Coturnix japonica: one gene and its partners. The protein of the gene in region 6 binds, or shares a complex with, the protein of the main gene of each other region. Links are inferred from orthologs where the notes say so. Each region holds a gene or a part of one and is shown on either strand. Other genes may lie near its edges. The genes, in order: PRPF3, PRPF4, PRPF8, LSM4, LSM6, PPIH and SNRNP40.

What was found.
Region 1: PPIH (region 6) and PRPF3 share a complex: the UniProt entries of both Homo sapiens proteins name them as parts of the U4/U6-U5 tri-snRNP complex. The link is inferred for Coturnix japonica from reciprocal best matches to the Homo sapiens genes PPIH and PRPF3.
Region 2: the proteins of PPIH (region 6) and PRPF4 are in contact, whole or in part, in a crystal structure (PDB 1MZW), measured with the Homo sapiens proteins. The link is inferred for Coturnix japonica from reciprocal best matches to the Homo sapiens genes PPIH and PRPF4. Residues at the interface, in NP_006338.1 of Homo sapiens: Phe14, Arg26, Phe46, Cys47, Thr48, Gly49, Pro57, Ile58, Gly59, Tyr60, Lys61, Gln173, Cys174, Gly175, Glu176, Met177; in NP_004688.2 of Homo sapiens: Arg113, Gly116, Glu117, Pro118, Ile119, Thr120, Leu121, Phe122, Gly123, Glu124.
Region 3: PPIH (region 6) and PRPF8 share a complex: the UniProt entries of both Homo sapiens proteins name them as parts of the U4/U6-U5 tri-snRNP complex. The link is inferred for Coturnix japonica from reciprocal best matches to the Homo sapiens genes PPIH and PRPF8.
Region 4: PPIH (region 6) and LSM4 share a complex: the UniProt entries of both Homo sapiens proteins name them as parts of the U4/U6-U5 tri-snRNP complex. The link is inferred for Coturnix japonica from reciprocal best matches to the Homo sapiens genes PPIH and LSM4.
Region 5: PPIH (region 6) and LSM6 share a complex: the UniProt entries of both Homo sapiens proteins name them as parts of the U4/U6-U5 tri-snRNP complex. The link is inferred for Coturnix japonica from reciprocal best matches to the Homo sapiens genes PPIH and LSM6.
Region 7: PPIH (region 6) and SNRNP40 share a complex: the UniProt entries of both Homo sapiens proteins name them as parts of the U4/U6-U5 tri-snRNP complex. The link is inferred for Coturnix japonica from reciprocal best matches to the Homo sapiens genes PPIH and SNRNP40.

Annotation. Positions count from the first base shown.
Region 1 is NC_029540.1:1,894,025-1,898,314, forward strand, and holds the start of PRPF3 (U4/U6 small nuclear ribonucleoprotein Prp3), read right to left. Parts: upstream 2,801-4,290; 5' UTR 2,674-2,800; intron 1-2,673. Other genes in the region: MRPS21 (28S ribosomal protein S21, mitochondrial), read right to left, coding at 3,104-3,284. UniProt on the Homo sapiens protein: Plays a role in pre-mRNA splicing as component of the U4/U6-U5 tri-snRNP complex that is involved in spliceosome assembly, and as component of the precatalytic spliceosome (spliceosome B complex).
Region 2 is NC_029532.1:813,639-817,863, forward strand, and holds the start of PRPF4 (U4/U6 small nuclear ribonucleoprotein Prp4), read right to left. Parts: upstream 2,801-4,225; 5' UTR 2,765-2,800; coding exon 2,690-2,764; intron 2,508-2,689; coding exon 2,330-2,507; intron 2,136-2,329; coding exon 1,949-2,135; intron 1,752-1,948; coding exon 1,664-1,751; intron 1,448-1,663; coding exon 1,368-1,447; intron 1,150-1,367; coding exon 1,056-1,149; intron 484-1,055; coding exon 389-483; intron 92-388; coding exon 33-91; intron 1-32. Other genes in the region: anaphase-promoting complex subunit CDC26, read left to right, coding at 2,894-2,974, 3,062-3,235. UniProt on the Homo sapiens protein: Plays a role in pre-mRNA splicing as component of the U4/U6-U5 tri-snRNP complex that is involved in spliceosome assembly, and as component of the precatalytic spliceosome (spliceosome B complex).
Region 3 is NC_029534.1:4,149,342-4,152,841, forward strand, and holds part of PRPF8 (pre-mRNA-processing-splicing factor 8), read right to left. Parts: coding exon 3,494-3,500; intron 3,405-3,493; coding exon 3,241-3,404; intron 2,905-3,240; coding exon 2,778-2,904; intron 2,653-2,777; coding exon 2,460-2,652; intron 2,122-2,459; coding exon 1,934-2,121; intron 1,721-1,933; coding exon 1,482-1,720; intron 1,392-1,481; coding exon 1,245-1,391; intron 1,036-1,244; coding exon 825-1,035; intron 553-824; coding exon 436-552; intron 350-435; coding exon 102-349; intron 1-101. UniProt on the Homo sapiens protein: Plays a role in pre-mRNA splicing as core component of precatalytic, catalytic and postcatalytic spliceosomal complexes, both of the predominant U2-type spliceosome and the minor U12-type spliceosome.
Region 4 is NC_029543.1:3,006,058-3,009,986, reverse strand, and holds the start of LSM4 (U6 snRNA-associated Sm-like protein LSm4), read right to left. Parts: upstream 2,801-3,929; 5' UTR 2,686-2,800; coding exon 2,683-2,685; intron 2,559-2,682; coding exon 2,517-2,558; intron 2,389-2,516; coding exon 2,290-2,388; intron 142-2,289; coding exon 1-141. Other genes in the region: PGPEP1 (pyroglutamyl-peptidase 1), read left to right, coding at 3,075-3,108. UniProt on the Homo sapiens protein: Plays a role in pre-mRNA splicing as component of the U4/U6-U5 tri-snRNP complex that is involved in spliceosome assembly, and as component of the precatalytic spliceosome (spliceosome B complex).
Region 5 is NC_029519.1:27,572,517-27,576,634, reverse strand, and holds the start of LSM6 (U6 snRNA-associated Sm-like protein LSm6), read right to left. Parts: upstream 2,801-4,118; 5' UTR 2,612-2,800; coding exon 2,440-2,611; intron 205-2,439; coding exon 91-204; intron 1-90. UniProt on the Homo sapiens protein: Plays a role in pre-mRNA splicing as component of the U4/U6-U5 tri-snRNP complex that is involved in spliceosome assembly, and as component of the precatalytic spliceosome (spliceosome B complex).
Region 6 is NC_029536.1:5,567,302-5,571,280, forward strand, and holds the start of PPIH (peptidyl-prolyl cis-trans isomerase H), read right to left. Parts: upstream 2,801-3,979; 5' UTR 2,732-2,800; coding exon 2,666-2,731; intron 2,368-2,665; coding exon 2,303-2,367; intron 2,043-2,302; coding exon 2,019-2,042; intron 1,650-2,018; coding exon 1,605-1,649; intron 1,374-1,604; coding exon 1,331-1,373; intron 999-1,330; coding exon 906-998; intron 251-905; coding exon 163-250; intron 1-162. Other genes in the region: CCDC30 (coiled-coil domain-containing protein 30), read right to left, coding at 3,402-3,615, 3,789-3,859. UniProt on the Homo sapiens protein: PPIase that catalyzes the cis-trans isomerization of proline imidic peptide bonds in oligopeptides and may therefore assist protein folding. Participates in pre-mRNA splicing.
Region 7 is NC_029538.1:602,876-606,375, forward strand, and holds part of SNRNP40 (U5 small nuclear ribonucleoprotein 40 kDa protein), read right to left. Parts: intron 3,475-3,500; coding exon 3,352-3,474; intron 2,383-3,351; coding exon 2,262-2,382; intron 1,536-2,261; coding exon 1,453-1,535; intron 1,034-1,452; coding exon 972-1,033; intron 1-971. UniProt on the Homo sapiens protein: Required for pre-mRNA splicing as component of the activated spliceosome. Component of the U5 small nuclear ribonucleoprotein (snRNP) complex and the U4/U6-U5 tri-snRNP complex, building blocks of the spliceosome.

The DNA of each region.
Region 1 (4,290 bases), on a different chromosome or scaffold from region 6:
CACTTCCACACACAGATTACAGAATCACAGAATGACCCGGGTTGGAAGGGACCTCAAGGATCATGTAGTTCCAATCCCCTGCCTGGCAGGGCCACCAAACATCCACATTTACTAGATCAGGTTGCCCAGGAGACCCCACAGATCCACATCGAGACCCCACAGATCAGGTTGCCCAGGGCCCCGTCCAACCTGGCCTTGAACACCTCCAAGGACGGGGCATCCACAACCTCCCTAGGCAGCCTGTTCCAGGGCCTAACCACTCTCCTAGTGAAGAACTTCCCCCTAACATCCAACCTATAATTCTAAGATTCTCACACACAGGAGGAGAAAAGCTTGGTCTTGGTGTTGCTTCAGCCCGTGGTTTCTCCTGCTAACACAGCCTGAATCAGCTGTCAGCTACACTCACGCCAGCCCACTTAGAGATGCCCCACAAACCACTTCCAGGAGCACAAGTAGAAGCTTTTCATGTACAACAACACCTTAAACACATACAGCAACATCTCACACACACTTGGATCACCTCGAGTTCTTCCCATTCCCATAAGGTTCCCATACAACTCCGAGCACACTCCCAGCTCTAGGCTGCCTCCCTTATAATGACCAGGGGGAACTCAATCTCATTTAGGTTTACTGATACTTAACAATCAGCACATGCCTGACTACCTTTGTGTTTGCTGCTTAAATGAAGCAGCAGATCAGCACTGCTGCCCTGTTGGCTCCTACTGAATCCAATTCCAAATCAGACTCAAGACAATAATTTCCCACCGTTAATCGTTAGCAGTTCTTTAACACAAGCTGCAATGAAGCGGATGCAATAATGTTTAATTACGTAGCCAGGCACTAATCTGATTTGGAAACCAAGTCTCCTTTATCTGGAAACAGGAGAAAATCTTCTTAAGGAAATATGTTTGACCTCAACATTTCATGCCCATGGGAGAAACCTTGTGGAGCCTTTACCTTAAAATGAGAGCAAACAGCATCCAAAATACACTTATCATCACTAAAGCTGAGAGCAAAGATCCTGGATGTGGTAACAAAGAGCTTCTCAAGTTAGAGACTGAAAAACAGCCAAGAGAAGGATCTGAAAGAGCAGCAAAGGGGCTGAAGCATCAGCTGGGAAGCTCCTAATGATCCATAGGGAGAAGGCTGGACACAGCTTGCAGCCCTGTATTCTTTTACAGCAGGTTTCAATGAGATACATTAAAAAGGAGCATCAGATACAGCCCAAAGGGGCATCATTACAGTAATTCATCATTAAGTCCAGGCTTGGAAGCAGGTAATACTTCAAGGTGAGGTTAATTGAGCGTCAAGATGCATCAAGATAACTGATTACTATGCCATATCAGCACTGCTGATGCGTTACAGCTTTCTGCATGCTTGCTCAGAAAGGCTAAACAGGATTAATTCACACTTGGCTTAAACTTCACGTTCCTCTTCAACTTCTGCAATTAACGAGGACGGAGAAAGAAGAGCAGCCGCTCCAATAGTATTTCCCTCCCCCCCCCATATCAGTATCATTGGGCCGCTCCTACAGCCGTCGGTGCTGGGAGCTCTATGGGACTTTGAGGGCGTAAGAGGAGCAGAAAACGGGCAGGTAACACCCACATGGAGGCACCCACTGACCCTCATCCCTCCATAGAATCACAGAATGACCCAGGTTGGAAGGGACCTCAAGGATCATGTAGTTCCAACCCACAATAGACCCCATTAACCCCATAGAGGCCCCATATCCACCCCATAACCCCATAGAGACCCCATAACCCCATATAACCTCATATAACCCCCAATAACCCCACAGAGACCCCAAAGACCCCATAGATCCCAATAGATCCCCATAGAGACTCCATAAACCCCACAGAATCACAGAATGACCTGGGTTGGAAGGGACCTCAAGGATCATGTAGTTCCAACCCCCTACCTGGCAGGGCCACCATACACACACAGTTACTAGATCAGGTTGCCCAGGAGACTCCATAGATCCCCACAGAGACCCCATAGATCCCCATAGAAACCCCAGAGACCCCATAGATCCCCCATAGAGACCCCACAGAGACCCTATGGACCCCATAGAGACCCCATAGATCCCCATAAAGACCCCAGAGACCCTATAGATCCCCATAGAGACCCCACAGATCAGGTTGCCCATGGCCCCGTCCAACCTGGCCTTGAACACCTCCAAGGACGGGGCATCCACAACCTCCCTGTGCAGCCTGTTCCAGGGCCTCACCACTCTCCTAGTGAAGAACTTCCCCCAACATCCAACCTAAATCTTCCCTCTTTTAACTCCAAACTATTTCCCCGTGTCCTTCTATTGTCAACATCCCTCCGGTGCTTCCCAAAACACGGTTAACGTGATGCTGAGACCACAACAACCGCAGCCCTTCGGTTCCCCGGCAGCTCCCACAACTCCTGAAGGGATCCTCTTCAATTAGCGGCTCTAATTAACGTTATGAGTTAATTGAACCCCAACCCCGAACCTCAGCCCCAACCTCAGCCCCGGGTTTAAGCGCATCAACTCAACGCTCCCGTTGGGCCCAAGCGGAGGGGCCTGGCCTCGCCCCGCAACCCCGCGTCACGGCCGGGCCCCGAGTCCCCTCAGATCCGCTCCTTCACGGTCCTTCCCCCCCCCGTTCCCCTCAGCCGCTCCCTCCCCTCCTCCCCGCGGCCTCTCACCGCGGCGGGGCGCGGCCCCCGCAGGCCCCGGGCCCGGACGGCGACAACGGGCCTGACGGCGACGGCACGTCGGGGCGGAAGCGGAAATGGCTGCGGGGATCTTTTTGCGCATGCGCGTCCCGCCCGCCTGAGGGCTGCCGGGAAAGAATGGAAGGAAGGAAGTGAAGCCGCGCGCTTTGCTCACGTGACACGAGAGCGCGGGAAACCGGTGGAAAAGGCGCGCCCCGCGTGGCGGGAAATAACCACGTGGGGGCGAGCGGAACCAGCCCGGCCCATTAACGCCACCCAGAACCCAAAACCCAGCGCTTCTCCCCCCACCCCCAACCGCAACACCCGAGCGTGGCCGAAGCAGAGCGCTGCACACAGCATTTATTAACAGCAGCAGCACCCAAAGGACAGACGGCCATGAGGACAGACGGCTGTAACCCCGTTAGCAGCCCAGCCATGGGTCCATGCGACTCTTGCGGGCGAGGAAGGAGATCTTGCGGGCCATCTCAGTGTTGTACACACGCCTGCACGCTTCATAAGCCAAGCGCTGCCTCTTGCGACACGGCTTCTCGTAGTACCGGCCCTGCTTCACTGACTCAACGATGCCATCCTGAGACAGGATCCTGTGGGGGGAGAACATGAGTCACATTGAAGAGTGAAGCAGGAAACTTAAAGGTAGTTTAGAGAAAGAAGTAAAAGAAACTTAAAGGTAACAAGTAAAAGAAACAAGGGGCCTGGGAGCCTGGAACAGGCTGCCCAGGGAGGTTGTGGATGCCCCGTCCTTGGAGGTGTTCAAGGCCAGGTTGGATGGGGCCCTGGGCAACCTGATCTATGGGGTCTCTATGGGGATCTATGGGGTCTCCTGGGCAACCTGATCTAGTAAAGGTGTATGTTTGGTGGCCCTGCCAGGCAGGGGGGTTGGAACTACATGATCCTTGNGTGGCCCTGCCAGGCAGGGGGGTTGGAACTACATGATCCTTGAGGTCCCTTCCAACCCCGGTCATTCTGTGATTCTATGGGAGAGCAGGGAGGATGCAGATAAGGAGTGAGACCTCACGGATGAGGAGTTGCATTCCCCCTGATAAGAACAAGAGGGGGTCTGCATGCTAAAGAGCTATTGAATATGTATCAGAATTCCTAGAACTATTGACAATGTATTAGAAGTCTAAGAAATCATTGAATATGTATCAGAAATCATTGACTATGTATTAAGTGTACCTAGATCTGTGTCATGATTTTACAAGTCGGTGTGCATGTTTGGTGGAGCTATCCCCCTTGCACCCGGCGCTACGCAATGCTGGAATAAACATACCTGCTTTATAACCCATCTCTGGATTATAGAGTTTGATTCTGCAGGTCAACATCTTTCTCCTCCCTCATGGCCACTTCCTAACACAGCCCAGCTGCTTCTAATGGCCTTTATCCAGCCTATAAATCTCCCCCTTTCACTGACCCTTCTGCTTCTAATTGTCCTTTATCCAGCCTTTATATCTCCCCCTTTTGCTGCCCCTTCTGCCTGCTGAAGCTTTGCATTACAAGATCAAACCTCATTATCACTTCTTGTTCTCCCTGCTCGCCCACCCCACAATAAATGAGCTTCTTTCCTCCATGCCGAGCCCTGCATAGATC
Region 2 (4,225 bases), on a different chromosome or scaffold from region 6:
TACACAGGATATCAGTGAAAGTCATTCTTTACCTCGTAAGGTGTGAACAAGGTTACAGTCAGGCACAGACCACAGCTTGCACAGTCCACTCCTGTTGAACACAAGAAACAGAAGTCAGTGTAGACAGGAACATCAAACAGCTTATCAAACAAACTACACCAAGGGCTTCTGCAGTGGGAAAGTGGCAGTCTGACAAAACAGCATCTGACATGGAAACACACATGGAGCAAAAGGTGTGTCACTGAATTCCTCCTTGAGGACAAAATGGCACCTGCTGACATTCATCGACATTCCTGAATGTTTATAGAGACGAAACACTCAGTGCGGACCAGGCAAGCCAAAAGACTGGACACCATGCCCTAAAGTAAATGCTTTGAAGAGAACTTACCAACAGGCAGTAGCCAAGAGTTTGGAATTGGGACTGAAGTGGCAGTAGGACAGCGGGCGATCGTCCCCAATCTGACTACAGAAGTTATTCAAGGACTGCAACAAAATACAGAGAAAACAATGAATAAATACAAATGACTTAGGGACAGTCCTGGCCAGTGACTGAAGCAGAAGTCAGAGACCACAGGGAAATCACTTCCAAAGAGAGATGTTACCTCAGAGCTACTCTAGCCCCAAGCAGGAGGATTATGGAGTTTATCTGACTAAGAGAAACTAGCACAGCTCCATGGCTCAGCTTAGCACTCAGTATGCCACCCACCATACTTGCCACCAATCATACTGATGCCCTGCTTTGCAACTCAAGCTTTGACTGAAAAGAAGCAATCTGTTTAGCTTCAAAGGTAAGAGGCAAATCAACACAGGGATGTGTCTCTGCATCCCTCTGCAGTGCTAGAATACAACAAAAGCAGATTTCTCTGTACAACTGCAGAAACAGAGCTAGAACACGAGTACCACTAGAAGAGAGAGAAAATGCAAAGCTCTTCAAGGCGCAGCACAGCAAATTACACACATCTGGACAGCCCCTCCAGGCAGCTCGATCCTTCTGATCTCTTTGAAATTCAAGAAAAAACGTTCACAAGCAGCAGTTGAACAGATGGCAAACCTACTCGTAGGGATTTGTGCAGTTCTTGTCTCTGCGATGTCCTGGTTGCCTCTGGAATCTCTTTGAGCAGCCGGGCTTCTTCCAGACGCTTCGCTGCCCTGTGAAGAACAAAGATCAAGTACCAGATGTTCACATTTCCCATGCCTTGCTGCTAGAAACCCTCACTTCCCCATTACTGGGCTAACAGATTTGTCTACCGGAACATGTTCTTCATTCTTTTGATCTCAAATTTACTACACTACCCACAATGTGGTTAGTAGTTAAGAGTTTACAAAATGTTGCACTTCTCCCCTTCATTGATGTTAGTTTTCCTTACCTGGGAAGCGAGTAGTTAGCAAGCCACAGCCTTGCTGTTTTCAGACTCCGTGGTCCTTCATGGTACCAAGTCTGTTGATACTGTAAGGAAAAGAACAAAGCCAAAAAAAAGCTTAATGCTGCCGATTTAAACAGTGCATTGACAGTTCTGCTAAAATGGGCAACAAAGAAAAAGAAAGGGATGATTTTAGAATTTGCACCCTGACCACAACCAGGTCTTGAATGTCTCAGAGACCACCAAAATAAGGTATTCAAAGATGACTGTATAAATCTCCTCCGGCACTGAGAAATCATTACCTCTTCTTTAGACTTTTTCGACCTGTCGTCATCTTTCCTTGTCTTTTTTAATGCATCTGTGCCGACCACTGAGAGGATATTTCTTAACCTGAAAGGAAACACGTTAGGTTACGTTCACTTGGTGGACAAACACTCATTGTGTTCCATTCTTTCTTGTTATGTTGTAACCAAACACAGACCGGCAGCACTCGCTGCACGCCAACTACAAGGAAAACAGTGGGAATATGATAAAGTGGGGGAAGCTGAGCGTTCCCTCTTTGCAACACACAAGGGCAGACACAGCACCTCTCCCTCCTCTCTGCGGGACCTTCTCCAAAGAGCGTGATGGGCTCCCCGAGGGCTCGCAGACAGGCCTTCACTTCAGAGTCATCCGTGGAGACGTTGATTTGCCGGGCTCGCTTCCTGCGCTCAAACTCAGCCAAGACTTCGGCCTGTCGCTCACTCATGTGATCCTCCAGATCAAAGACCTCACCTGCACCAAAGCAAAACCATCAGCCTGGACACAGGAGCTGGACAGGAGATCCTCCTCCAACAGGAAGATCCCAACAGAGAGCTGGCAACCCAGGGAAAAGCCTCCCCTTATCAAACCTAATGTATGCTCAGATATTATTGGAGTGACTTTCGATTACACTAAATAAAGGCCACCCCATGCTGCTGTGCTCTCACCGCTGCTGATGTTGATGTTCCCGGCCTCCAGGGCCGCCTTCATTCCCTCCTTCCCCAGCAGCCCGGGCTCCCCCTTGGCCAGCCGCTCCCGCTCCTTCTCCTCCAGGCTGCCATAGAAGATGGGCGCCCTCTTGGCGGGGGGAGCATCGCCATCCTCGGACGGTTTGTTCTTCGTGGGCTGCAAAGGAAAGACAGAACCGATAGGAATCCGTGTGTGCTGAGTGCAGAGCTGACCTCATAACGGACACGGCACGGAAACCACAGGATCTTGTGATAACACCCCAAAGCCGCAGCGCTACCGGTCACAGCCCGACCCGTCACAGCCCTCCCAGCTCCGTTCCTTCCCATCTCCTCCCGTACCTCAGGCGGTGCGGGGCCCCTCACAGCCGCAGGCCGCGCCCCGCCTCGAGCCACCGGTGCCCGCACGGCCGCCATCACTGCGCTGCCCGACGGCCTAACGGAGCACTTCCGGTGACGGACAGGAAGCGGCGGGTCACACCGGGTAAACCGGAAGGGGCGGGCGGTGCGTGACAGAGCGGAAGGGGCCGGGAGGCGGCGGAAGCGATGCTGCGACGGAAACCAACGAGGTTGGAGCTGAAACTGGACGATATCGAGGAGTTCGAGGGAGTCCGGAAGGACCTGGAGGTGCGCGGGGACGGAAGGGGAAGGACCGGCAGGGGTCGGGGGTTGTCCCGGGCACCGGGGCCCTGACTCGGCCCCCCCGCCCCGCAGAGCCGCAAGAAGCAGCGGGACGAGGCGGACGTGGCGGGCGGCGAGGAGGCGGCGGGCATCGCGCTGGGAGCCGAGCACAAGAGCCGGGAGCAGCTCATCAACGACCGCATCGGGTACAAACCGCAGCACAAGGCCGGGGTCCGAGCCGCGCACTTCGGCACGTTCGAGTTCTGACGGTGCCGCTGCTCCCGGTACCGAACGGAGCCACACGAGGCTGTTTTAATAAATGGGCTTTTTTACAAACCGACACCAGCTCCTGGGTCTCCTTTGGTTGCACGGGGAAGTAAAAGCCTTCACTCAGCACAGCTGCAGCATTGACGGTTGTTTTTAAAGCACACAGCCACAGTAAAATGCATCTGCTTTATTAGTTAATTATATACAGGAGATCTTTGATACGTTACTAGATAAGTTACCTTCACAAAGAGCAAGAGGAAAATCAAAAGTGACAGTCTGCTGTAAACAAAACTATCCGTCCTTTTGGGTCTGCTGGGGCTGCAGACCAACTGAGAAGGCACTGGGGGAAATAACAGAAGCTCAGGGATGAACACAGCCTGGATACACTGTGCTTCCTACAGACATGTAAAGACAAAGTATCAGGGTGCACTCACAGACACAGCGATCACATTCTAAGCATGCTACATATGCTGACACGTGAACTTCATTTACTCAAGTCTAATAATCTAATATTAGAGTCCTCACCTCCCTCTAAGCACCACTCAACACAAGTTTAGTGTTAACACTGGGACAGCTTGAAATACAGCCAGCATAAAGGCCAGGATGGCATCCAACATCCAACGCACTAAGTGCAAGTCGGTATCACAGTGGGCAGGTTTTGCTCAGACTGGGGAAGCAAACAGCATCAGGTGGGCAGGAGGGAGGCTGGGGCACAGGGAGGCTCCTCAGGACTGTCAACAGTTACTAACCCTCAAAAGAGATGATTTCAAGGGAGGATGCACATACAGTGATGCAGAAAAGCAAGCAGGACTGAACTTATGTTATAAAAGCCGCAGCTACTGCATAGTTCCAACTTATCCTTCTCTGATTGGAACAGTCAGAATTCAAGTCTGGGCACTTGAATGCAAAAGGAAAGGTGGCTAAAAAGCTTCACTGATAGCAAGAAGATCAAGTCAAGCAGAAGTTTTATTTTAGAGATAGTCAGAGGTA
Region 3 (3,500 bases), on a different chromosome or scaffold from region 6:
AGCAAGTTGTGGTTTAGCATTCCTAAATACTTCAATGGGAAAGAATATCTAACAGAGCCCCTAAATCATGTGGGCAGTTCAGATCAGGCAATATTACTCACCTCAGGTCAGACTGTGGGATGAGAACATGTCCCATAGAGAGCATACCCAGACCTCCCAGCTCTTTAGGGGTGTAGAATACCACGGGTGGGAAACGACTGGGCATTTTGGAATTCAGACCAATTTTGATTCGAGTCTGGATTTTATTCTCACATTTCACCAACAAGTCAAGCAGCTCCTGAGTATTTACAACAGCTTCCCGGAAATATGTCATCAGGCCAATCAGAGCTGTATTCCATTTATTGACAATCTAAAAAGGAAGGCACGGGATCAGTTCTCAGCTCGTTCTTCAAGCATCTGCAGGAAGCTCTGTCACACAGCTCACTTCTGCCTTACCTTAGTGAAGGTTGTCGAGCCAGACGCCATGAGGATCTGCCTCACTCTGTTATGGAATCTCTGCATAGACTCATCGTCAACGCGCAGGAAGCACTGAGCTGTGCGCTCCTTGGTGACCTGCGAGAGCACAGGGCTACGGGTCACTTACAAAGCACAGGAAGGGAAGAGCCTGAACAGTTCTGGGTCCTCCCTTATCACTCCCAAAGGATTTCCCATCCCTTGCAGGAAAGAAAGCTCCTGAATTCTTTTTAGTTCTACCTGTCAATGCTTCCAGGCACACAGCTGCCAAATGCATGCTGCCAAGTACTCCCCACAAAAAAGGTACAAGCTTTGCTCTAATGCCAGCTACAGACAACAGAATCGACTGCCTTCCCAGCCTGCCAAACTACCTCATTCTGCAGGTTCCAGACACCATCCTTGTGGGTGAACTCCTCATAGCTGGTGCGGCATTTGGGCAAAATGCGGCACTCAAAACCACACATGTTAAACAGCAAATTGGGGTTATCCTTGCTGTAAACAGACACGAAGCTGTTCTCCCACTGCACTGTGGTGACGGATCGAGGCAGGCGGTTCTTGATATCCCAGAATACAGCACGGCCACTGAAACAGAAGGCATGCACAGTGAGGCCAGGCCTTGAAATTAAAGTGAAATACAAACTGGACAAGCTCTCAGTGCTTTCTCAGCACTATGGTCTCTCACACCAATCACTCTCTGTCAACACTATGACACAAAACTCCTCTTTACTTATTTATCACAACTAATTTTCACACTTCTCTACCCCTTGTGTTTCTAAGGCTGCATCGCTTACAGGTTGACATCATGCTTCATGAGGCGCATCCGAGCATCCCGAGGCCAGCACTTCTTATTGTTGTAGCCCACAATATTCTCGTTGTTGGGATCTGGATGCTCTGTCAGGTACCGCTGAATCAAGTCCCTTGCCTCATCTGCTGTAAACCTGGAAATGAACAGAAGAGGGTCTGTGGTGACATAAACATCATTCTCAGATGGACTGCCCACACAGATAAAGGACCCAGTGAGCTCTCACCTGAAGAAGATGTGAATGCGGTCAATGTATCTGCAGAAAAGGCGAATGGGATGGGCCACCTCAGTTGCAATGTCTTGGAAGCTGAGGAAATCATTTGGCATCTGGGGAGGCCCAGCCATTTCACTGGCACGGTGCAGACCCAGCACCAGCAGGTCCATCACAAGCCCATAATACTGGACAATGAAGGAAGCAAACTGCAGTCCACGAATAATCCCATAGGAGTTTGTGTGATTCATGTCCTGAGGAAAAAGAAGTGTGAGAAACCTGGCTCTCACAATCCCCCAAAAACCTTTATCTGAGCATCTGCTTTTCAACAGGGCCCAGAAGGGTTTTCTTACTCCCCTAATCACCTCTTCCCCCAGCAAGTCTTGTGTCCCAGTTCCACCTTCACCACCACCGCCAACCCCCACTCAGTTATACAGTCCACACACTTTTCTGATAGTAATCATCACCTTGTAGTTGATCACCACGTTGTTTTTTGCTGTCATGTAGTCAGCAATGTTGTGATCGACAATAAGACGCAGCAGCCTGTTGAGTAACGTCAGGTCAATCTTCTCATACATCTTCTCAAATCGAGATTCCAGCATCACATTGCATTCACCTTCACTTGTTTCCCAAACATCCTGCAGATTATTAATGCCTGAGGAGACAAACAACTGTGTCACATTATGTGATGTGGCAATTCTGAGTGCAGAAGCACCCTTCCAGGTTTGAGAAGTCAGTATATTTTCTGTAGTGTTTTTCAGCCCCATTTTTCCTTCCAGTCTACCCAGAAATTGGAACAGAAATATGTAATCAATCACAAATGTTACAGAACTTCTCTTCTTCCAGTGTTAACCTACAAAATACAGCCTCAGAGTGTAGCAACAAATGGTATTACTGCTGCAAGTATGAAAATCCAGCTTTTAAGTGGATCCTTATAAAAATAGCTCCTGATAAAAATACTCATTCTACCATGGAACACAAGACCCCACTAACCTTGGCACCACTTGTACACTAACAGTGGAGGAGGTTCAGTGTCAGCAGGCTTGATCCACGGAGGGAAGAGTCTTCTTTTATCAGCCTCATACCACAAGTACTGATCCAGATAAGCATCTGTGATTTTCTCCAAGGGCTCAACATCATAAACAGGAACCAGGTGGCTGTAGAGATCCATGAACTCAATGCCAACCTAGAAAAGAGAAGGTAAATCTGAAGTCTACACCTGACAGAGAACACTCTTGATAATCTTGCTGCCATTTTGTACCCGTATTCTGTAAGTTTTATGTATGCTCTGGTTTTCACCACAATACTCACCTCCTTGAAGGCTCTCTGAGTTAAAAGGTGTCGTTTGATTCTGGACAGAGCTTCATGAGGATTATCATAAGCCTGTTCAATCAAGCCCAGCTCCTCCCTCTGTGACTGATTCAGGCGAGATTTCACACTGAAAGTGAGAAAGAACAACAGTTTGTGCACTCAAGAATGAACAAACTAAAATCTGCTGCAGTGAATTTATGAAAGATAAGTGCTCAACTGAGCAGATCAAGACAAGATCTCCTATTCTTCACAATTCACATCCAGCCCCAATTGGCAGAGTCCATGAAAGAATGCCCAGGCTGCCTTGGCAGTACCACATCCTACAGCCTCAACCTGCCCCACTCCAGGTAAATGGTATGGTGCACTCAGTTCCAGGAATAACGGATAACAAAACAGTTTCAGAAGCCTTTCCCAGAGCAGATATCTGACCCTTGAGAGAAACTCGTCACTTCCCTGTGCTTACCTATAAGCTTCCTTCAGCCTCTCCAGGGCCAGTATGAGCAACTTGGTATCGTGTTTGTAGGACAGTGGGGGGAATGGAATGGGTGAGAACCTCCTGCTTTCCAACCAGTGCACTGTGGTTGTGTACACGGCAACGGCCTCTTCTGCAGTGATGTAAGGCCCATCCTGCACAACCACAACACCATGATTAGTCAGTGAAAGTTTGCCTGTGGAAACAGCACCAGCTTGGGCAACCTCAGGCAAGACAGAAGTACCTTCAAG
Region 4 (3,929 bases), on a different chromosome or scaffold from region 6:
CTGTTGCATCCCACCACGGCCTCTGCCTTTGGAGACCACCTCTTCTTTCACCATGTCAATTATCTCATCGGGGATCCGAAGGTATTTAATTGTGCTGCCACGGATGTAACACTCTGGCATCCTCCAGAACTTGTCACCATCCTATTGGGAAGCAACGTGTTAAGCTGAGAACAAAACCACGTGCACTTAAGTTGCTTTTTGACACTTGAATATCTCCATCACTTCTGAAGCGTGCGACAGATGTAATAGTCTATTCTGAATGTACAACCCATAATTAGCTGTGAAATTCCTGTTTTCCCTTTAAAACACGCAGCCCTACAACCTGCTGGGGAGTCAGGGGGCGTTCAGCCATGAGCCACTGCAGTTTCAGCCCGTTCACAACCGCCTTTGACTCTCACAGAAAGTGAAGGAAGAAGAGGAAACAGCACCTTCCCTTTGCTTCTCATACAAGAAGAGAATCGAAAGTGGGACTGGAGAGGGAAATGTGGTAAGTTCAACACAGCTGCTGCAACACGGGGCAGTTCCAGCACATAAAGCCCCAACCAGAGTCACCTACAAACTGAACCCCTTTGTGGTGTGGATTGAGCAGCGAGGAGCATCCAGCTGGGTGTGGGGTGAGCCCAGCAGCGCACAGGAACCGCGGCTGTGGAAAATAAGAGCTTACAGATCACGTTCAAAGAAACCTTCGGGTGCCAAGTTACGGAGCAGCTGCCTCTGTGTTTTGTTTAAGGCAGTTTCAGGGCTTTGCTAGGACACAGCCCATCAGGGCTTCAGCTCCTGTGGCTGTGGGAATAGGAACTGCATGTGAAAGTTGAACAACAACTGATGTAAGCGGGAGGAGGGATGGAACCTCGTGCGCACGGCCGTGCTCTGCTGCAGGGCTTGGCTGAACACAGGCTCCTCACAACTATCACACATGGACAGAGTGTCCACAACATCCCAGAGGAGTGGGTGAAACCAGAATGCCTCGTTTCACCTCTCCAGAATCAAGTTGTACCCCCCTCCTCCTCTGCTCCGGTGTTATTTGGGGCAATGCAGCATGCACAGGCAAGTTCCGTGTGTGTGAGACAAGCAGCCTTCTTCAAACAGGCACCCAGCAAACCCCACCCTGCCTGGATCCGCCCGGCTGCACTTTGGCTCTCTATGCAGGAAGGGATGGAGCCAGGTCCCCGGCTTCCTCGTTCCAGCTCCCCATGTAAACAGCTGCCGCAGCTCCATGCCATCTAGTGGCTGATCCCCACCGTGCCACCAGGAAGGCTTCCATATATACCCCCCCAGTAGCACCCAGGGGGTATTTAGGGGTGGGGAGTGAACTGCAGACCACTCGGTGGGTATAAATGCTGAAGTGCTCTGCCCACAGCAACACAAAGCTGCTTAATGAGGAAGCAGTATTAAAGGCCGGCATCCCTTGTTCTGCAAGCACTAGTAAGGCTTTGCCACTTGCCACCCCTTCCCATTGAACTTATCTGTTTATCTGCCCCAACAATCTGTGGATCCAGATTTTTAGGGCTCACTGCTCTGCTGTTATGATCCTTCTTAAACCTTTGCTTTGTTTAAGTACACACATCACATCTCCGTGCCCCAGCACTATTGGCCAATACCTTCCTGCTGTGGGTCCAACAGGCACAGAAACCCTTCCTGAAGAAGAAGGGTTTCCCTGACAGCCTCCCCCACAGACCCGTGATGTTCCCAGGCACAGAGAGCAGCAGCAGCAGCAGGAACGTGGCCAGGCACAGGCTGCCAGGGACAAGACCAGACACTTGAGGCTGAGGTCAGAGCTCAAAGCACAGATCCCAATCTCTTCTCGGAGCACTTTGGCCATGGGCAAAAGTAGCAGACGAGGCACAACCCGGTTAAACAAGAGGCCCTAATAACTTTTGATGTGGAGTTACAGGGCGTGAGGCAGGTGATGATGAAAGGCAGCACTGTGCTCGATGGGGCTGCATGGAGCGGGCAATGGGACAGGACCTGTCACCAGCCCTTCACACTGAGCACCTTCACCCTGCTGTCAATGGGCTCATTCGTTTCTTACACCTCATAACTGCGTTACATTCACATTCAAAGCAAAAGCAACACACACAGAAGGGTGAGGATCTCTGCGAGTCCCACTCAGCTGCAGGGCTGGGGGCTGATAGCAATGTGGGGTCTATGGGCGCAATGGGGGGTCTATGGGCGCAATGGGGGGGGTCTATGGGCGCAATGGGGACAACTCATTCCTGATCTGCTTTGATGCTGTTCAAAGTAGGGGGTCTATGGGCGCAATGGGGGTCCTGGCATTGAGCTGGTTACCCGTGAGGTGCAGATGACCTCCCGCAGGTTGATGTTCATCCAGTTGTCGCAGCTCACCAGGTGCCCGTTGTACGTCTCGCCGTTCTTCAGCTCCACCAGCTGGAAGAAGCAAAGGGGGGGGGTCAGCATGAAGGAACCGGGACCGACGGGGCGGCACGGGGACCCAACGGGACCCGACGGGGCGGCACCGGGCCCATAGGCCGCAGCGGGAGTGGGCCGGGACTCACCATAGGGTGGTTCTGCGCCGTCTTCAGCAACGACAGGGGCAGCTGCGGGGGAAAGAGAGAAAGGCCTCAACAACCGGGAACCGGGACCGCCTCGGATCCCCATGTAGGGGCTCAGGGAGTACCGGGACAACCGAACCGGCCCGGCCCGGCCCATTCCCGCACTCACCATCGTGCCGGAACCGCGGAGCCGCCGCCGCGCCGGGCGCTGCCGCTCAAACCACCCCCGGCCCCACACGGGACCAATCAGAGCTCGGCGCGGTCCTCGCGGAGCCAATCAGCGTGCAGGACCCGCCTCGGCCGTAAAGCATCGCCGAGGTTGGCGGTGCACAGCGTCACGACAGTGCCGTAAATTGAAACGCCGAGCGGGAAGCGGCACGGAGCGGCGCTCAGGAGGCGCTCTAGGCAGCGAGGCGGCGCGCACTCTATGGTCGCGCGGGGCCGCTCTGGTCCTCGGGGCGGCGCGTATTCTATGGCCGCGCGGGGCCGCTCTGGGCGTCGGGGCGGAGCGCGCTCTATGACCGTGCGGGGCCGGTCGCTCAGTGCGGTGCGGGAGCGGAGATGGAGAAACCGCGGAGGGCGGTGGTGGTAACGGGTACGGGCGGATGGAACGAGACCGGGGGGTGGGGAGGGGACGGCAGGGTGGGCTCTGATTCCATTATCTCAACGGGGGGGATGCGGGATTGGGAGGGGGCGGTGAGGGGCACATGGGGGTGTCGGGGTCCTGGTGGGGGTGTACGGGGATTGGGAGGGGCGCGACGGGGCTGCGGCGTGTCACAGACCCCTCCGGTTATACCCCCCCCCCCCGGTCCCCGCTGTATTTGTCCCATCTCTTGCCCCGGGGGGGTTGGGGGGTGGTCTCTGCTTCAAACATTCAGAGCTGATGGTGCTGGATCTGCCCCTGATGGTCGCACTGAGACCCCATTGCAACCCCATGAAGGTCTGCAGGGTGGGCTCAGTGCTGTGTGCCCGGCAGGACCCTGTGCTGGGTGTGGGGTGGCTGAGGCTGGGTTTGGTGCTACCCATAAAGTTGCTCATCTGATATGCAAGGAATCGATCTGGGGGTCGGTGTGGAGGATGAGTGAGGGGGCAGCTCAGTTGGGTTCAGAACGAGAGGTTTTGGTTACATTGGGGTACCTGGAAAGCTGGTGTGATTCATATTGAAACCATCCCAATGAAACACCTGTTTGGTGCTCTCACATCTATAGCTTATATATGGAGAAACAACAAGTGCATTAGGATCCTGTGGGAGCCTTCAGGAGGGTTATTATGGGGAGATATTGATGCTGGTTCCGCTTGGAGGCTCAGGTTGATACTGAGATCCCATTGAGCTGTACAAAGCCCTGTTGCTGTTGTGTGCGGTGTAACCTCAGCCCTCCCCTTCTGCTGGCAGCACATGGGAGGTTTCCATTAGTG
Region 5 (4,118 bases), on a different chromosome or scaffold from region 6:
TGAACAGAACTCATCCAGGTCTGAGGAAAAGCACAGGCACTGAAAAGAAGCGCTGTAAAAAGTACATACAGCACAAGAAGGAGGAGTTACCATTATTTCCTCGGATAAATGCATCCCCATACTTGTTCTTTAACTGTCCATTTACGTATTCTTCTGTCTGTTCCAGAGCTATATTCATATAGCCATCCAGGCAAGCCAGGACACCTAAAGAGAGTGATAGTTTAAAAGTGAATCAACTTTAGCTTATTTCTGAACTAAACAAAACGGCTTTGCATTTGAACAGTACAAGGAAAAAAATTGTATCTTCATAGCAAACTAAACTTCCAAATGTGGTCAGGTGAGTCAGTCAGCAGCCCAGAGAGCATTAAAGGAACTAAACTGAGAGTAGGGAACTCCAGGTCCTGTACATGACTGGGTGGGGAGAACTCACTGAGACGTGACTTTGAAAGAGAACATCTTCCATTCTGAAAGTTTAGTTGTTGCTTTTTACTTTTGTTTTATGCCCAACTCCTGAGAAGAACCTGTGACATAAAGTGTAACTGGGCAGCCTAAGAACAAGGCTACAAGCTGAGTTTTGACCAAAGCTCATCAAGGATATATGTGAGAAATAACCCTTCTAATACAGGACACCACGCACATTTTTCTGATTTATTTTCCAGAAACTGGAGCACAGGAAGTTCTGCACGGATGTGCACAAGAATTTGTTTACGGTGAGGGTGACAGAGCACTGGAACAGGCTGCCCACGGAGCTTGTGGAGTCTCCTTCTCTGGAGATATTCAAGACCCGCCTGGACGCCTACCTGTGTGACGTGGTGTAGGGAGCCTGCTTTGGCAGGGGGTTGGACTCGATGATCTCTACAGGTCCCTTCCAACCCCTACAATTCTGTGATTCTGTGATTTTCATTCTTATAGACAGAATAACATGGGCTGCCAGCGTGATTTCTGTGTAAATCAATTCTACATCTTCAACGGGGAAAGGGTTTTCATATGACACTGAAATCTTCAGCCAAATTTAAGTGATGTACAAACAGAACATTTACATAGTGAACTAAATGTGGGGATTAACGGATGTGAAGAACTGCTCAGAAAATGCAATACGTACACAATGCAATTTGCTAATTGCATACATAAAACAACTTCTAACAAGCTGCTCATCTCCATCTTGTTTGTGTGTGTTTCCTGACTTCCTCCTTGCACACAGACACCACTATTAAAAATACAACTACCAAAATGGACAAGAATCTAATTTACCTGCTATTAAAACTGAAGACATGCAGTACATTGGCTGTATTTGAGGAGGGGGAGAACTCCAGTCTGAGAATCTTCCTCCAGGGTATGTTCTCATTTTCCAGAAGCGTTACTGTAATATCCTCCATTAAATAATTAGGAATTCAAGTTTTCTTGCCAACTTGTAATGGCTTGAGGATTGGTATTTTCCTGTATGTGTTTTTCATCCCTGTTTCCACATAAATGGGGAAATTCTGTCTGGCCACAAAGTGTTTTAAATACACCAAAACCTTCCAAGCCAAGTCAGTGACAACATTTTCACACCAGTAATCCTGAGTGCTTCAAGATGCCACAGAAAACAAATGTTTGCCCCAAGCTGAAGTTGGGCTGTGGGGTTTTTTTTTAAGCTATCACTCAACTGGCCAGGGTGCATCTTCATTTCTTTCATTGTTGTCTTTCTTTTCTTTGTATTTACTCCCAGAATACTAATAGCATCACATACTGTTGCTGCCCACCCTGGCTCATATTTTGCCTGTTTTTTATCAGTATGCAGCAATGTTTTTACATTCATATCCATCTGTACAACTGATTACACGTGCACTTTGCCAGGACTTCTTAGATGAGTACAGCGCTTGGCAGTGAACCAAGACATTTTACAGCTGCACACCAACGTGAGAACCAGGCAGCTGCTGTGCTCACAGTGGCTGGGAGGGTGGAGGTGCAAACATAAAATGAGAAGGGTAGCCTACAGGCAGAATCTGAAGAGATCTGCAACAAAAGCCTGAGATGCTGGGTTTCCTGATGTTTGGTTTATACAAGTGATCGAATTTCTGTAGAGAAATGAAGTGTGCATTTCTCAAATGTAAGCACCAGGAGGGAGTTAGGGAGAATGGAGGGAAACAAAGAAAGGAAAATAACTCCTGTATGACATTGGGCTGGTGTCCAAACACCAAGATTCCTTGTCAAAGGACAAACGAGCACTAAGATGAGCCAACTGAATTAAACCTACCTGAAGTAGCGATGTCTGGCATGATCATAACGTTTAAATCATCCCAGAATAAAACACCTGTCTCCTCATGGGAGAGGCATGATAAGAGCATCCAAACTTAACGAAGACTGAGATAAAGAAATAATTGTAGAGGCTGAGCTATTGGAGAGGCTCAGCCTAAAGGGAGCAGGACATCTCACTGCACAGACAAGGTGGAATCTTACCTCGATAATCGACTCCAGAATTTAACTTTACAACAACAGGCCTTCCAATGATCTGCTTTAGGAAGTCACTGGGAGTTTGCTTCCGTAGGCTCATCTTGATTTGTGTCGGTACGCTGGGAATAGATGTGAAAGCCGATATATGGATAAGCAGCACATCCCACCCTGCAGGCATTGAAGGCCAGGCTGGATGGGGATGCGAACAACCCGGTTTAGAGGGAGGCGTCCCTGCCTACAGCAGGGGGCTGGAAGTGGATGGGCTTAAAGGTCCCTCCGCACCGCTCCCCGCACCGAGGCACAGCCCGGCCCGCACCCCGCCGCCCGGTGCCCCATTGCGGCCGGGCCGAGACACAACGCCGCTCACACTCACCCGCTGCTACGCGCGCCCGGCCCCGCGTTCGCGGCCAATCAGCGGCGGGCGGTACGGCGCGGCGGCAGGGACACGGCGGGACGGGCGCGCTCGCTAAAGCGGGGCGGGTTGTGGCTGCACTGAGTAGCGCCGCCTCTATCGCTGCAGGGAGGAGCTGGATGGGATCACCTGCTGCCAAAGGACGGGGAGCAGCTTTCTGCTTCTGCACCCAGCTGTGGCCTGACCTCTGCAAAACCTCATCTGTGTCCGTTTTAAACTTATCTTTATAGTTTCTGTCTATTTTTATCGTTTCTGTCTATGGATACTTGGTTCATTGATGCCAGTCAACAAAATCCTTCTAATTTCCTTTTTAGTCCTAAATTTACAAACATATGTATTCCGAAAGACTGAAATAGAGATGGACAACGTTGTATCCTTAGCTCGCCACTTCTATGGCTTGAGGCTGAGCCATGAACCCACACCTTAGCAAATTTGTCCTGGTTTTCTGTATAAGCCTTGAAACAGTCTTCCATGCTGTACTGAGTAAATGAACCTCTGTGCAATAGGACACATTGCTGAGCATGTTGGTGTAGTGGGTTTTGCATTGGGAAAGAAAATTTCTCTCTTGCTTATTCACAAAGATTATATAATGTAATCACAACTGTAAATACACAACCTAAAGAATGTGTTGTTTCCTGAGTCACACAATCCCAGTGCTCAGGTAGGTGGTTTTCAAAGGAATTATGTAATCCATTCTGTAGACTCCTCGCAGATTTCAAAGCTTCGAGTGTGAAAAAATGAGACCCACTGTTTAATGGTTCTTCTTTTTGCTTCAGTCATCTAGATGAAAAAGGATTTGGGTCTAAAACTTTGCATGCGTTGCTATCAGTACATTCTTTAAAATATGGCATTGCTTTATCGTTCCACAAAGCAGAGAGCATTTTTCCAGCTGTATAAAACTCATTGAAATCAGTGACATTCTGCCCGTGTGTTTTAATCAAGATGAACTTGAAAGGTGAACATTGTAAGTGGTAGAAATTATTTATAATTTGGTAATAAAAGTTTATGTCTAACACTTCCAAACTTCATACATCTGCTATGTGCCAGCCTTGAGATATAGAACAATTGTGATTGCCTTTACATTTGGCCTCAGATGAAAGGTCATAAATTACAATGGGAGTTTTCAGTCCTTCGCAGCTCACAAAGTTTCCATTATAGCTTCTTCACCTCAAACATAAATGGTGACAAAGTTCTAACATGAAGAGTTGCTGTGGCCTTTACCAGCTGAACTTAATGATGGAAGCTGGGGGCTCGTCTACTATTGCTAAGTCTT
Region 6 (3,979 bases):
AAATGTTCCTAATGACGCATCTCAATACCTGGCTGCACAAATAGCTCTGCTGGCACAATGGATGGGGAAGGAACAAGCAAATCCACAGCTGCTTATTTTTGACCCTGTGCCACAGAAACTGTGTAAGAGTCTGTATGCCAGGCCTGCACGGCAGGTACTCACCGAACACAACATGTTTTCCATCCAACCAGTCACACTTGGAGCACGTAATGAAGAACTGACACCCATTAGTACTTGGACCACTGTTTGCCTGCAGGTTGAATTTGTCAAAATGCAAAGCATACAAATTAGGACTTCCCAAAGCTGAAGGCAGAGACATCTCACAGCAGAAAGAGCTGCTGCTTTAGCTCTAACCTGGATACATTTTATTGAGCTCACTGCTTTACAAACCAAAGGAAACAAGACAGACATTTGCAGGACAGCACCTGTGCTTGGTCACGGTGCATTATCAAGTCAGGCCCTGCTACCGTGTGCAAGTACACAAAATCTTTACTGGCTACAACATCACACTGGGGAAATAACGTTATAAAAGATTTCACACTAACACTGCTGTGGCTCTGAAACTCCGCAGTCTTTGTTTCCTCCTTGCTAAGGTCAGTGTTCAACAGAGGCATAAGGAAAGAAAAAGACCCATCACTCATCACTGTACCAGATCTGCAATCCTCAAGCCTTTATGGAAGCTGAGCAAATAAAACGTGTTCCTGAACTCTGACAGGTAAGAAGAAAGGATTCTGGAGGATCAGGACTCACTTCACGAGCAACCTTCTGACTGCTACTTAAAACACAGGCCTTTCAGACCCCCCAGCCAACTGCAGATTCCTACTGTTTGCCAAATACAATGTATAAAGTTAGGAAAAGTGCAGAGAGGAAACACCAAAAGCTATCAGCCTTCATTTTATACTCACCATAGAAAGCAGGCCAGGAGCAGAGTGCTTCAGCTTGAAGTTTTCATCTGCAAAAGGACCCCTGTATATACTGGCTACTCCAGTGCCATCTCCCTGCACAAGAGAGGCAATTAGTCTGCCACAGCGTTTACTTTTGCATCGTGAACTTGAAATAACTAAGCCTGACTTGATTTGTACTATCCCTTGGAATAGCTGCTTGGTTTGTGTACTTAAGCATCTCTTCTCACACATACAGTGGAGATTCTCTGCCTCTTACTGGGGGGATGGGAGAAACAGGAAGGACAACAGGGTGAAAAGAAAACCTCTGCAAGTTTGAAAAGCCCCCAGTTATACCATCGTACTGCTAAGAGAGAGAAAACATGGGAAGGATGAGCTGTGTGCTGTACAGCACAGGACAAAGACAAAAGCAACGTGGTAGTACATACGTTTACAAAGTCACCTCCTTGGATCATGAAATCCTTTATTACCCTAAAAGAGGAAAATGATACTTAGTTCCCAGGAGAAAAATGTCTTGTGAATGTCTGCAAACACTACAGCCTACGACCAGCGAGCAGTATATACGACCAGTGAGCAGTATATACAATCTGTGAGCATTAACAGTATCTGACAGCACCCAAAGGGCAGACAGCAGAAGCCCTTGAGGCAGGTCCCAAAGCCACCTACTGCTACTGAGTCTCTCAACAAAAGCAGAAGTACCACCTGTGGAATGTGCTTCCTTTATAACCTATGGGGACGCCATCTTTCCTACAAGGAAATAAAAAGGAAAATCATTACAACTCACAGTAAGTCCCAACACAAAACCCTCCCAGGAGCTCACACCCCCAAAGGGACGCCCTGTACATTAGGCCTAATACATCACCTACCAAACCAACCCACCTCCTTCAGCCCATCCTGGAGCTTAATTTCACACTACCAGAGGCCAAGGGAAACCCTGAATGGCCACAGCTGTTTGCAGCATCCATTTCATCAGCTCAAAAGGATCCCACTGCAATTTGCAGCACAGACATCTGCATCCCCCCTTTTCACACAGGTAAGGAAACCTTCCAAGTGAGCCCTTTCCCAGCCCAGTATTGTCTGAGGATGGTAGATAAAAGGAGAAGATAAACCACATACCTGAATTCACCGGTACAAAACTGCCTGGAAAAGAAACAGCAGAGAAAAGCCGAGTATGAACCACTTCTGAACTTTGAGAGCACAAAGGCGGCATTCAACAATGAATGCTGTGCAGGACTTGGGTTATTGCAATGGGGATGAAACAGGAATCAATGGGAACCACTCAACGCTTCCATTTCACAACAGAGCTTTGAGGAGATACTGAGAAAGCTGCGATATGTAACGAGCTCAGGAGGTTTATATCACGATATAACGGTACCGTGCTCACAGAGGCTGCTCCTCACCTGAAGTTCTCTGCGGTTTTGGGCACCACGTCAGCGAACAGCTCGATCTTCATGCGGCCAACCTCCTACATAGACACAAACACAGATATAGACACACATATTGACACACATGGATATAGATACAGACATAGACACAGATACAGACACAGACATAGACACACACAGATACAGATACAGACACAGACACGGCCGGCTCACCCCGCTCCCACACACCCCCCCGCCCCCCAGCCAGGCCTCTTCCCCCCGCTCCTCCTCCCGTAACCGCCGGGGATCCTAAACCCGCCCGAAGGGGAGCGGCTGCGGCCTGTAGAAGCCGATGAGGCGGGGATGGGCCCGGAGAAGCGGATCCGTCGTGCCGCTCACCTGCCCGCCGATGGTGACGTCGAAGAACACCACCGGGTTGTTGGGGTTGGCCGCCAGCACCGCCATGATGGTGGCCTCAACCGGAAGCGGAAGTGGGGCAAAAGAGGCGGGGCTACGCACGCTCTGACGAGCGGAAATTGTGCGTGTGACGTCATCCCGTCATCTACGTGGGTGGGGAGGCCGGGACAACATGGCGGCTGTGGAACCGCCTGCAGCCACGGCGTGTAGAGCGGAGGGAGCGGGTCGGGCAGCTCACAGCGCTCTATGGAGCCCCATAGAGTGAATGGAGCCCCATAGAGTGAATGGAGCCCCATAGAGTGAATGGAGCCCCGCGGATCCCGTTACTGCTTCCTGCCTGTCTCTCCTTCAGCCACACGGGGGCAGCCGCTCCCGTCTCAGCACAGAGCAGAGGGGAAGGGAGGAACCCGGCGGTACGGCCCAGCACAGGGAAACCGGTCCATGTTTTATTGAGGAAGCTTGGAAAGCAGGGAGTGCAGATGAAGGGAAATAAATCTCATCCCACCCCCGTTCTTTGTCTGTCTGCAGATTGCAGCTCTGGGCTGAGATACACACACACCTTTAAGGTTGGCCATGTTAATTATTAAAGAAAGCAGCTGTTGAATAATTGAGATACCACAGAAATCACCAATTATCATCTGCCAACACTCCCTCTTTCAATCTTGTATGACAACAGGAGCCTGAATCCTGGCAGCCTGCACTTTACATCGTCCCCAGGTTACATGTTCTCGGAGCTGATGCTCTGACTCTCCTCCTGCAGCTGGGAGGTTGCAGTGTCTCCAGGTGAGGCGACGTTCAGGTACCCGATCTCTGAAGGCTGAGAGGGGGAGAAGCAGAAGGACGAGTCCTGGCTCTCAGCTCCTCCTTCAGGCTTGGAATCGAGCACAGGCTTCAGGCTGCTGAGGGAGTCTGGTGGTTCCCGTGGTAGGAAACTAAAAACACATTCAGCTCTTCAGTCACTTTAAGCATTATCTGTTTCCTTGCCGCCTGCACAGCCGCGGTGCGCCTCTGCGAGGCAGCACAGGGCCATGGCTGAGCCCAATTCCTGCCTTCCCACAGGCAAGGAGTAACCCACCCCCTTCCTTTTTGTTTTAACCCACAATACCTGGCACGGGGAGGTGGTGCTGACACCTTACTCTGGAGCTGCCGTTCAGAGAAGTTGGCATTCTTCAAGTCCTGGAACAACAGAGACTTTCAAAGGGGGATGTGCATGTCAGACCCTCAATTTCAACATACAGCCTTGGACCTGAAGGCGTCCCCCGTTCCACTACAGGCTCCTCAGCTCTACAGTACTAC
Region 7 (3,500 bases), on a different chromosome or scaffold from region 6:
CTTCACCGTGTCAGGCTGCCCACACTGGGACCAGCCATGAAGGAACAGGTATTCATCACCTCATGCACTGCTGCTGCAGCCCAGTGGGACTGGAAAGAAGGGTCATGTCTCAGCTGCCAGCTGTGACAGCTGGCCCCACTATATCTGCACAGTATGAGCTAAAGCTCTCCCTGTCGTCTATCAGAAGCTCATTAATTTGCTGATTACTGCTGTTCCATGCCTTGGACTCCGGCCTGCAGGAATTCCTGTCTCCATGTCACTGAGAGTGCACCTGGATCTGCTCCAGCAGGTTGGTATCCTTCGTGGCGACCTTCAGTGTCTGGCAGGGACCCTCTGCTGCCCTCCTCCCTCTGCCCAGTTTACCCTTTGGTTATCCAGTCTACAGAAGCTCTCATTTAAATAAGTCAGATATGTGCTAATTTAGTCAGAACTTAATTTCCTCACACCTGTTAATTAAGTAAGGATCACAAACGATCCTCGAAACGCCACTGGTGCTCCCTGCTAGCTTTGACTGATTCTGGTGGTCATTATCAGCACAAAATGCAGCACTCTGCAGCAATCTGCCAGAATCTTTGCCTTTGGAGAAGTCTCACAAGAATCTGCTGCTATGACTGCAAGAGACCTCGCATGCTGCCAGCTACGCTCCCGTCATCTGCTTGTCCATCTGTTGGATGCAGTGACTGAACACAAGCAGAAATGGAGCTCTCTAGAAGGTTTCTGACAACAGTAATAAGGATTTTACAACCATATAGTGCTCCTCCGCTGATGCAAAGGCAATATGAACACATCTCTGCTACCATTGCTGCAGACAATGCTCACAGATTACCACAGGGGGTTGTTTGGGTCTTCACACCTCCATGCACAACTCTGGCTCTTCATATTCATTTTAGAGACTATCCAGGCTCATTTCAGCAGTGATTGCAAAAATGGTTTGGCATTGACAGTAACAGAGAAACACGGTGATAACTCACCTGTCAGCAGATCCCCCTGCTATCTTACTCCCATCTGGAGACCAGGAGCACCTCAGAAGATTCTAAGACAAAACAAAACAATAGGCACAGTTCCATTTCCGAAGAAGATTTAGCTTTTCCCTTCCAGTTCAAGTAAAATCACTATGAGACTTTAAGTATCAAGAGCACTACTTTAATGATCCCTCTTCAAAAGATTCTCATCAAGTAATTAAAGATTTTGTTTTATTGTTGGAAACATCCAGTGCCTTGTTATTTTATACAACATGTGTAGAAAATACTTCATTTACAGCTAATTATAGCCAAAGTGAACAAAGAAATTTTGTTACTACAGCTTTAATTGGAATCTCACTTTGTGCGTTAATGTTTCTTCGAGTCCTTATTAAAGTCTCACTGGTTAAAACTTTAACTTCCCTGTAAACTGTTCTTTAAGTTCATGTGGCAACGCTGTATAAATGAGTGTTTAGGTCTGTAATACACTCACCTTTTCAAAATTATGCACATTCCCCTGGAAGATCTTCACACATCTCTCTTTTGGGGCAAACGGTCGCACATCCCAGATGCGAACTGCAACAGAGCACACAGTAATTAGCAGGAGATACCAGAACTACAGGGGCAAGGTCAGCTGCTAATGATCAAAGATCTGGTTGCATTCCTTGTTCTTTTCATGCCCGTTTCCTTAGCTAAAGGATACCAACAGCCTCCCGCTGCAGGAAGCTGTGATATGAAAGGTAAAATGCAGTAATTTATAATTACATTAAGACCACTCCCAACAGGAGGGGAAAATTCCAAAACAACTACTACACAAATGAGCTACTGTCTCCTCACATGAGCATTTGCTTTATTCTAATACACTTCATGATCATACTTCTAATCAGATCAGCTTCACTGAGCACCCATACGCAGGAGATGAGCAGTCTGGAAACAGCACTGTCATTCCCTGCTGCAGGGAAGCAGCTGAACCACTCTGACAAAAGCCAGACCAAGATTATGTTCAACTGCCTGTGCAAATAACTTGTGCCACAGCCCATGTCCTCATTGCCCTTTGGGAGACGTGACAAACCTTTCTGATACAGCTGCTCCTTCTCTACAAAGGATGTAACTGTCACGGTTCAAACAAAGAGAACTGAAGGTTTCTCTGCAGACCCTGCCTGCATTCCGCCCACCTGACTCTCCTATTTTAGCACATTGACCAATTTCAGCTGCTCCTTCTGAAATACCACACACAGCTCTTCAAAGGCAGAGGCTGACAGTTGTCTGCACAGCTGTGCTGTCACATTTGGCAGGACATACCTGTGTTATCCATTGCGTTAGAGAGCAGGTAAGAACCTTCTGAACTCAAACTGAGGCCTGTCACTGAGTCTGCATGTCCTCTCATCGTGTACGTGAGCTTGTTCTGGCGAAGGTCCCACACCTTTCAGACAGCAGAGACAAAATTGTGGCTTAGAATGGACAGACAAGACTATTAGCAATGCTCTTTCCAATTTCATGCAAGTACTGATCAGCCATCTGATGAATAACTTTCCACTTGCAGTTGGGTAAGGTCTGAATGGCTAAAATATAAGGCTATAAAGTTATGTGTTGTCCTCTAAAGGGCAAATTTTCCCCCCCATTTCTTACCTAACGTGTCCAACCACATCAGCAGAAAATAGTTAAATTTCAGCAGCTGATGTACGCAGGATTTCCTTTCAATCTGGCCTAGCTCCCTCAGCTCCCAAATTCCACTGACCCATGGCACAGAGGAGCAGTTATCCAGTCTTCAAAATTTCATGCTGTTCTTTCTCTATGAGTTACTGCCATTCAAAGGGCAATTAGAAGTGAAATCATTTCAGTGCTACGCTTAGTGGTGGCCCTCTGACAAGTATGTGCTCCCCATGCCTAGGTAAGACTGGAGACTGAGGCCAAAAAGACAGCAAGGCTGACTGAACTGTGAAGCTATCTGGAGAATCTCAGCTACCAAGTGAATGAACACTGAGCGTGCTCTTAAATAAGAACTTTCCACAGTAGCAGGTGACAAAGTAAGTTATTGAAGCAAGGGTCAGAGAACATGGATGTGTCACCAAATTTTCTTTAGCGTACAACATATATGGCTCTAGAGCCTCTGTGAGGGGCACCAGCTGCCAGAAGAGCTTGCATACCATATCAGTGGCAGTGTGTGACGCTAAGATGCATGGCCAGTCACATGGCAGACAGCCCTGGAACAACTATCTCAGAGTTTTCTGGCCTTAGATCAAGACACTGTGGGTCAGTGCAGTTCTCGTGACAGTAAAATTAACCACATTTGTCCTTGACCAAGGCATTTTGCGTGCTGCTAAAGCAAATTTTGATGGGATGGAAAAGGTGAAGGTGGTTGGAAAGAAGCACAAGGACACAAGCATCATACCTTAATATCGTTGTCAATGCCCCCAGATATGATCTGATCACTGGTGTCATTAAAGGTTACAGCCAAGACTTGGTAAGTATTCTGAAATGTCTGGACAGCAGCTTTTTTCCTGATATCCCACAGCTGAAAAGACATTGTGTTGTAAAACT